Linked DNA regions of Ovis aries. The protein of the gene in region 1 purifies or fractionates together with the protein of each later gene. This does not show direct contact. Links are inferred from orthologs where the notes say so. Each region holds a gene or a part of one and is shown in the gene's direction. Other genes may lie near its edges. The genes, in order: AICDA and CTNNBL1.

Region 1 (4,337 bases):
AGATGGCCAGGATGGCTCTGAGTGCCACTGAGACAAAGAGGGAAGAGGACCGGATTATACGTTGAGAGAGAGAACAGGTGCTCAGTTTTAGCCATGTTTGAAATGCCCAGACATCCAGAGGGAGATGCTGAGGTGGAAGATGGATATACTTACTTTGAGTACAAGGGAGAGTTCCAGGCTAGAACTACAGACTGGGGCAAGGGGAGGATCATTAACATATAGACGATTTTTTAAAGCCTTGAAGCAGAAAGAGAGCAAGAACCCTGGCCGCTTGGCTCACTATTGCAACACCGGCACCTGGCAGTTTCTGTCACCTAGTGGGTATTGAATGTCTTATTGAATGAATAGATAGAATACATATGAATGCAGGAGGGAGAAGTAAAAATCTTTATTAGACCAGCTTGTATGAGGGAGGGAACTTAAAGCCTCTCATTTGAAAAGCCCAACCTGTTTTCTAAGTTCAGTGCAGTCACTTAGAGGCTGATTCTGTGTGATGAAATAAATCTTTTGTTGTTTGAGATGCTGTTGCTTCTGACTTCAAATTAATCTATGGCTTCTGTGGAAAAGATGACCTTATGCAAAAATTATCCTTTGGTGTAATCATCTAGCCTTCTAGCAATTCTTGTAAAGCAATCAAAGGGGGAAAAAAAAAAAAATCAGTGGTTTGGGAGGCAAAAATCTCCGTCCTAAGTCCTGAGTATACTTGGCCAGCAAACAAGCAGGAACAGTTAGTGTCGGTCTTTATTGAGACTCAGAGCTATTGTGTAATTAAATGAGGAATAGATGCTTTTGGCTGATCGGACACACGAGACTTTTAAATTTATTGTTATTATTATGTTTTAAAGATACCATTTTGAGGAGTTTCCTGGCAATCCAGTGGTTAGGACTTGGTGCTTTTACTGCTATGGCCTCGATTCAATCCCTGGTCAGAAAACTAAGATTCCCACAAGCCTTGAGGCTCAGCCAAGAAATAGATAAATGAATAAAGATATCATTTCTTACCAGGATTACAATATACAGTCTGTCTACTTCTCCTGTCTCCTGATCTTTACTACCTGTGGAGGGTGGACTGCATTTTTAAAGAAGCAGAACTAAAGGGACCTATACATTAGGCAGAGTGGCCCTCAGTCATTTTCTCTCTGTGAATTTTTGCCTATGAAAACCCCACCCATCTCCAGTGGACCCAAACAGGAGGAAGCCTGCTGGGGTATGGGGTACCTGTTGGTGGTGATGCTGTTGTGGGGAGGAGCCTAAAGGGCTGAGTTCAAATTTGAATGTGTGAGACCGGTGCATTTTCAGCCAGTGCAGCAGAAGTGCTGGAGGCAAGCTTTTCTTCTTAAGATCTTCAGGGAGCCAAGAAAGACAAACTGGATTCCACCATGGACAGGTAAAGCAGTCTGCTTGTGGGTGGTTGCGCTGGCCTTACTCTCAGAGCAAATCTGAGTGATAACATGCGTAGACTTTCCCTTTCCCCTAACACTGACTCACAGGATCTGCCTGGTCAAGATACACATTTATTTTTCTGGATCTGTCTCATCTTCTGTTCAGATCTTACATGCTTTCCGCCCAATTATCTTTCTCTTTTTTCCTTTCCATACTCAAAAGAACTTTTATGCACCATGCATTGACTTGTCCTTACAGTTAGGATAGTTTATGGTAGTAATATTCATCAGGCAAATGTTAAGAGACTCAAATCATGAAAAGGTCATGGCAATACTGTACTAAAAACAGTAGTGGTAATGGTAATAATTCTGTAAACATTCAACTGTAGAACCTCTTGAAGAAAAACTTGACTACAGAGACTTTATTGAAAATTACATAGTCAAGAAATTATTTTCTAAATGCCAATATTCAAAAGTATTTGCTTGAAGGTCAGTCACTGTCTGTGACAAGGAGATAAATTCAATTGAAAAAGCTTCTTTAATATTATAGGCCAAAGAGGCAGTTAATGGCATTTTTACTCTTTACTGAGTCTCTCCATTTCTTCAGACATGACTTAACTTACTTCTTTAATGCATACTCTGTAAAATTTTGATGATGTCTTCACATGAAGTTTATGACAATGTTATTATCATAGAACTTAACCTATTTCTATTGCAAATGTATGCAAATTTATACCTAATCCATATACTTCAATCTCAGTGTAGAATCTTAATGGTGGATTAAATGTCCTTCAGAAAACTGAGGGCAAAATATCACACGTCAGCTCAGTTTACAGTGAAAACTAATCTGTGGTATGAGACGAAAAAGGCTCAATGGAGATACTTGTAAATAATGAAATGCAAAACAACAGTAAAATCAGAGTTGAAATTCAGAGAAAGTCAGAGAAGGAGAGAGGATGAAATTCAACAGGAGAAAAAGGGAAATACATGATTTTCATTAAGGAAAATACTATCTGCAGAGCACAGCACTGATGGCACGCGGCAGGAAAGGATGACTTGGTCACGATTACTTTTAACCCATCTGTCTCTGGTTTGCATTGCTGGGGATGCAGCCAGGGTTCCGCTTCAGGGCACACAGCTGTCTGGCGCAGCTGTCAACCTGTGGGCCTTACAGACAGTCTCTACCGAGTCCTCTGCATCCTCAAGAGAAACCAAAGAAGACTTCCCTGGTGCGTCAGTGGCTAAGACGCCACACTCCCAATGCAGGGGGCCTGGGCTCAATCCCTGGTAGGGGAACTAGATCCCACATGCCACAAATAAGACCAGGTACAGCCAAATAAATAAATATTTCTTAAAAGAGAGGGAGAGAAACCAGAGAATAGGAACTAAGCCCCCAGCTATAATTAAAGATACTTAACAAGGTCACAGGCATGCAATTCAATTCACTGTGGCTGGTAACTTCTGATGGAAATAGTATTTTCATGTGGGGGTAGAAGGCCATTTGAATTCCTTAGTCTGTGTCCTATCCTTCCTTACACTCCCAGGACACTTTTCCCTCCTACGGGAACCGCCCGGCCAATACCACCTGCAATGCATGATATTGTATCCCCTCCCCCACTTCTCATCCACACAGCCCAGGAGGACAGGTTAAATGCAAAAGGAATTTATTGGTAAGAGACGATGCCTAATCCATTTAAAACTGGGCCCAAAGGAGAGAATTTTTTTTCTTCCTCTCCAGTATTTATTAGGCATCTACTATGTATTCGGTTTATGTAATATGCTGAGGGTGGTTATGTCAATTAACAATAGTAACAGTAACGAGGTAGTGCTGTGGTGGTTTTACCATGGTAAATTATTATCACTTTAGAATAAAGCCAGTGATTATTAGATTTTTATTAACATTCATTTTGGATTTCTGTCAAGTGTGAATTTTTAATTATAAAAATTTGATTGACTAACTTGTATATGGTTTCATATATGTAATGTATACACTGGTGATACATCTAATTCTCTACCTCAGGATTTTCTGTTTTTTTTTTTAATACCTCAGGATTTAAAGTGGATTCCAGGGACTTCCATGGAAGTCCCATGCTTCCATTGTAGGAGGCATGGGTTTGATCCCTGGTTGGGGAATTAAGATCTCACATGTCATGTGGCACAGCGCCCCACCTCCCACACCGCCCCCTCAAAACGATTTCCAATAAGCTTCATGTGTGTGGGAAAAACATTCAAATTACAACACCTTTAAAAATCTCTGGCCCTTGCTTACAGATTTAGTAAGGGTGACACTTGGGAAGTTGACTTCTGGGTCTATCTCATGTATTTCACTATCAAACTATCAATAATCAACATGTCCATACAAAGGTAGGTGTAGAAGCTTTATTCACAATAACCCTCGAATGGAAAACAACCCAGATGTCCCTCAACAGGTGAGTGAATACACGAAATGTGCTGTACCGAAGCAATGGAATAGTGCTTTGCAGGACAAAAGAACAAACTCTCCTGATACATACAGCAGCATGGATGAATGTCAACGTCATAATATACTTAGTACAAGAAGTCAGACACAAATGAGGCGATAATGCATGTTTAAAATAAAATTCTAGAAAATAAACCATCATTTATAATTACAGTGCCTGGGAGGGGGAAAAAGAACTGACTGAAGAGATGGATGAGAAAACTTGGGGGGAGGGGTGCCCTGAAAATGTTCCGTACACGACAGTAGTAGAGTGTTAAGTGTTTACATCTGCCAATATTCATAGAATTGTGAATTTTAAATGGGTGAATATGTAAATTACGCGTGTGTGTGCTCAGTCGCTCAGTCATGCCTGACTCTTTGCAACGCTATGGACAGTAGCCCATCAGGCTCCTCTTGTCCATGGGATTTCCCAGGCACAACCCACTGGAGTGGGTTGCCATTTCCTTCCCCAGGGGATCTTCCCAACCCAGGGATCA
Region 2 (3,818 bases), on another chromosome or scaffold:
CTGGTAGAGCCTTCTTTTGCCTCACAGACAGAGGCCTTTAGGAACAAGATGAAAAGTAGCTACAGGCAGGCCCCGTGGGCAAATAAAGAAGTGCGTTATCTGCGTCTAAATAGTCTCTGAAGGATGCTGGTGGGGATTGATGACCACGGTGGTAAGTCCTTCGAGTTTGGGAGCGTGGAAAGCAGGGTCCCCAGGGCTTCCATCAGTGACAGGTGCCTGAATTGTCAGAGGGAACCATGGCCGTAAAACCACTGACAGAATTAAGAAATGGGTTGTTGTCATCAAAAGCATGTATTCAAGCGCCTGTCTTCTCAGACCAATCTGCTAGTCGTGCAGAACGAGTCTTTCACCCAGTTCCGACTCTGACAGCCTGCAGCAGTCATGTCTCTTTCCTCTCATTCACCGCGTGGATGTTTACTGAGCCGGGGATGTAAAGACAGAATTCAGTCCCCACTTTCGCAGAGCTCACAGCCCACCCTCATGAAATAGAGGGAGTTATAGAAACAGAGAGCTGATAGTAACTGAAATCCATGTGGATATGATGGGCCAGAAGACGGCATGCCGTGGAGTGGCCTGCAAGGGTACTGTCAGGAATTTTGGAAAGGAGTTTTGTTATCCTTAAATGATCAAGAAAGGCTCTGTAGGAGAGGTTGCTTTATAGTGCTGGCATGAGAGATATCCCAGAACTCTTAGGAAGCAAGGCAGTAAAGGCCCTGAGACGGGAAGAAGAGCTGTCTTGGCAGAGGTGGTGATAATCCTCTGAATGAGGGGCTTTGGGGTGGAGTGGAATGAAAATATGCTGCAATGACTGTGATGGTGGTTGCATAACTCTGACTACACACAAAACGGTTACTTTAAATGGTTGAATACTATGGTACCTCAATTGTATCTGGATAAAGCTAGGTTTGTTTTTTAAAGAATCCGCTATACAGGAACATATATGGGGAGAGCAAGTCTGATAGGTCTGGGGTTACAAAACTTTAGGAAAGAAACTCCCTAAAGAGGAAAGAGATTAGCTCTTTGACCTTGAGGAAGTATTGAACTCGTGGAATGAAACAGAAAGGTTGGCGTTTTGTATCTAACAAAATATAAGCCAGAAGGGACACGTAGAATGGGTACCTGCACCATCAGGAGGGCACCAAATCAGAATTGTAGAGAAAGAGGACCTCTCCTCCCTAGGTTAATTTAATTTGGAAGAAAAAGAGAGTTAAGTATATCTTGTAGAGAGGTTACTGATGGAGGCGGGAACCAGAGTAAAGAATGAGTAGAAGTAGATAAATAGATTTATGTCCCCATCAGCTTATTTTTTTCAGGTTGAATGTGTGGATGTGATCATTTTGGCCTTGAGTCTTTGTATAGAGAAAATAATGGACTTTAGTCTTGGCTCCGTGAGCCTCTAGTCCGGTAACAATGAGAACATAAGATACTTGAGAATAATGAGTCAAGCAGGAGGCAAATGAAGGCAGAGTGGTTTTCTCTTGTTGTCGTAGTTGTCATTACTGTTCTCTTGTGAATCGTGAGAGGACTGGAAGCCTGTCCTTCCCTCCTCCGCTCACCGTCTGACTTTTGTTCCCCAATGTTCCTTCCTTTCTAGGACATGGTCCGGCGTGGGGAGATCATCGACAATGACATTGAGGATGAGTTCTACCTCCGGCGCTTGGATGCCGGGCTGTTTGTCCTCCAGCACATCTGCTACATCATGGCAGAGATCTGCAATGCCAACGTGCCCCAGGTAGGAGGGGCTGCCCTGGGTGGGCCCATCCATCCCTGCCTCCTTGCCTGCCGCCGGCTTAGGGGAGAGTCTCTCAAAGAAGGAAGTGGATCACACACTCCTTGAATTCCTTCACTCTACATGGGCCCTCTTTCTCAGGGATGGGGGTGAAGTGAATACTTCCAGTGTGATGTATTCTGATGTCTACCAGGACAAATGATGCTCTTTCTTTCTCTGTCCACTCTTGCTTTTCCTTATTAGATTCGCCAGAGGGTTCACCAGATCCTGAATATGCGTGGAAGCTCCATCAAAATCGTCAGGCACATCATCAAGGGTGAGTTGGATGTTGCTTGTGTCTGGGGCTCCAGGGAATTAATTAGATGTTGCTTTCTTTCCATCTCTGTCTGTATGCCTGGAATTTGGTGCGTAGCATTCTCTGCACTGCAGGCTTAAGTGTGTTGTCCAGGTCGGTCTGTGTCCAGATCATCCTGTCAGAATACCAAAGACTAACCTAGTTAATCTCTGCCTCTGATTCTCCACTTCCAGAATTTTAAAAACACAAACAAGAAGCAATAGGGATTGGAAATTTAAACACACACACACACACAAAAAAAAATCCAGGTCCAAACTGCATGTAGTGAAAGGAAATTACTTTCTTAGGGGAAAAAACAAAAAAACAAACAAAGAAACTAATCAGAACTACCTGGAGTTAAGGCAGAGGGAAGTGAGTTTGAGGCAGGATGGTATAAGAGAAAAAGCACGCCTGCTTTCCAGTGCTAGCTCTGCCTTCCCCCAGCCATGTGAGCAAGATCTAGAAGAAATTTGGAAAAGTTCATGGGATGTTACATGACAGCATCCAGCCTAGTGGCCAGCACACAGGAAATGCTCGGGTGAATTTCCTTCACCTTCCCCAGCGGGTCCCTTTTCGGCTGGACCTGACTCAGCTGGAGTGGCTCCCAGGAGGCCTCCGGTCGGTGAGCACGCTCTCGGTCAGCTTTGTGATGCAGTGCCCACCCTCGGACCACTTAGCACAGACCAGCACACACAGCAGCAGGAGCCCACGCTGGACTTTGCTGATAACACCAGACTTCAGAGTCATAGTGGACGGTACCGCAGGCACATTGTGTCCCTCTCTGACCCTCATTCTGCCCACTTCTTAGCCGAGGAATTAGGCTAGATTTACTTGAAGGGTGTGCAGGTAAGTGGCTTATAACTCCCATTACAGGTGGGAGATGAAATGTGGAGATAAATGATATATATAATAGAGTGAGACGTTAAGAGCCCTGGGTTCTGGGATCTGGCTCCTGGAAGTGAATCCTGTTCCTTCTGTTTGCAGTGCTGCCTCAGGCAAGATATCCAATTGCTCAGAGACCTCATAGAATAGGTAAAAGGATTAAATGAGATGATATATGGAAAGTGTCTCCAGTTCATAAGTTCTTGGTAGATGCTAGCTGAGTATTTGCTATTTGCTTGGTAAATGCTATTGTGAGTATTATGAAATGTGATGATAACTATCGTCAGCAGTGTTACAAGTGAGGCACGGCTAATATCCCATGGGAAGCTGTGTGGGAGTAGGAACATTGAGCTGGGTCTTAGACATTCCAAACCAAAGGAACTGTGTGGGTGAAAACCTAGGACTGGAAGCTACATGATCATCACTGCCCTCCCTGGCAAGTAGGGATAGTAAATCTTGTGCCCATTTTGCAGATGGAGCCTGTGAGGCACTGGAATTTATTGTCTTCCCCCCGAGGAAGAGGAAAGAGGGGACCGTTCATGAGCCTCACCTAGCATCTCCTGTAGTGGCATCTCCCCCTCAGTGTCACAGGCGCGTGAGTTACTGCTTCAGGCCTCACGCCACCTCCTGCCTCAGGTGCAGCTGCGGCGATGTGCAAGCCCAGCCTCTAAAGGACCTTCATTTTCAATGCCCACACATTCAGTAAGAACTTTTTGTGACTCTCAGCTCCGCTGTCTTGCATTTAAGCTTCTCCCTGCACCTCCATCCCCATGATCGAAACAGTGATCTGAGAAAGGAAGAGAGTTTTTAACACCTAGTAGGGGGATGCTTTTCTTCCTGACATCCTAACATGTGTACCTGAGATTATTCAGG

The links.
Region 2: the proteins of AICDA (region 1) and CTNNBL1 purify together in Homo sapiens (affinity purification with western blotting; 3 studies listed by BioGRID, with this or other methods). This does not show direct contact. The link is inferred for Ovis aries from reciprocal best matches to the Homo sapiens genes AICDA and CTNNBL1.

Annotation. Positions count from the first base shown.
Region 1 is NC_056056.1:206,848,526-206,852,862, forward strand, and holds the start of AICDA (single-stranded DNA cytosine deaminase), read left to right. Parts: upstream 1-1,297; 5' UTR 1,298-1,379; coding exon 1,380-1,387; intron 1,388-4,337. UniProt on the Homo sapiens protein: Single-stranded DNA-specific cytidine deaminase. Involved in somatic hypermutation (SHM), gene conversion, and class-switch recombination (CSR) in B-lymphocytes by deaminating C to U during transcription of Ig-variable (V) and Ig-switch (S) region DNA.
Region 2 is NC_056066.1:66,747,472-66,751,289, forward strand, and holds part of CTNNBL1 (beta-catenin-like protein 1), read left to right. Parts: intron 1-1,594; coding exon 1,595-1,732; intron 1,733-1,972; coding exon 1,973-2,045; intron 2,046-3,418; coding exon 3,419-3,647; intron 3,648-3,818. UniProt on the Homo sapiens protein: Component of the PRP19-CDC5L complex that forms an integral part of the spliceosome and is required for activating pre-mRNA splicing.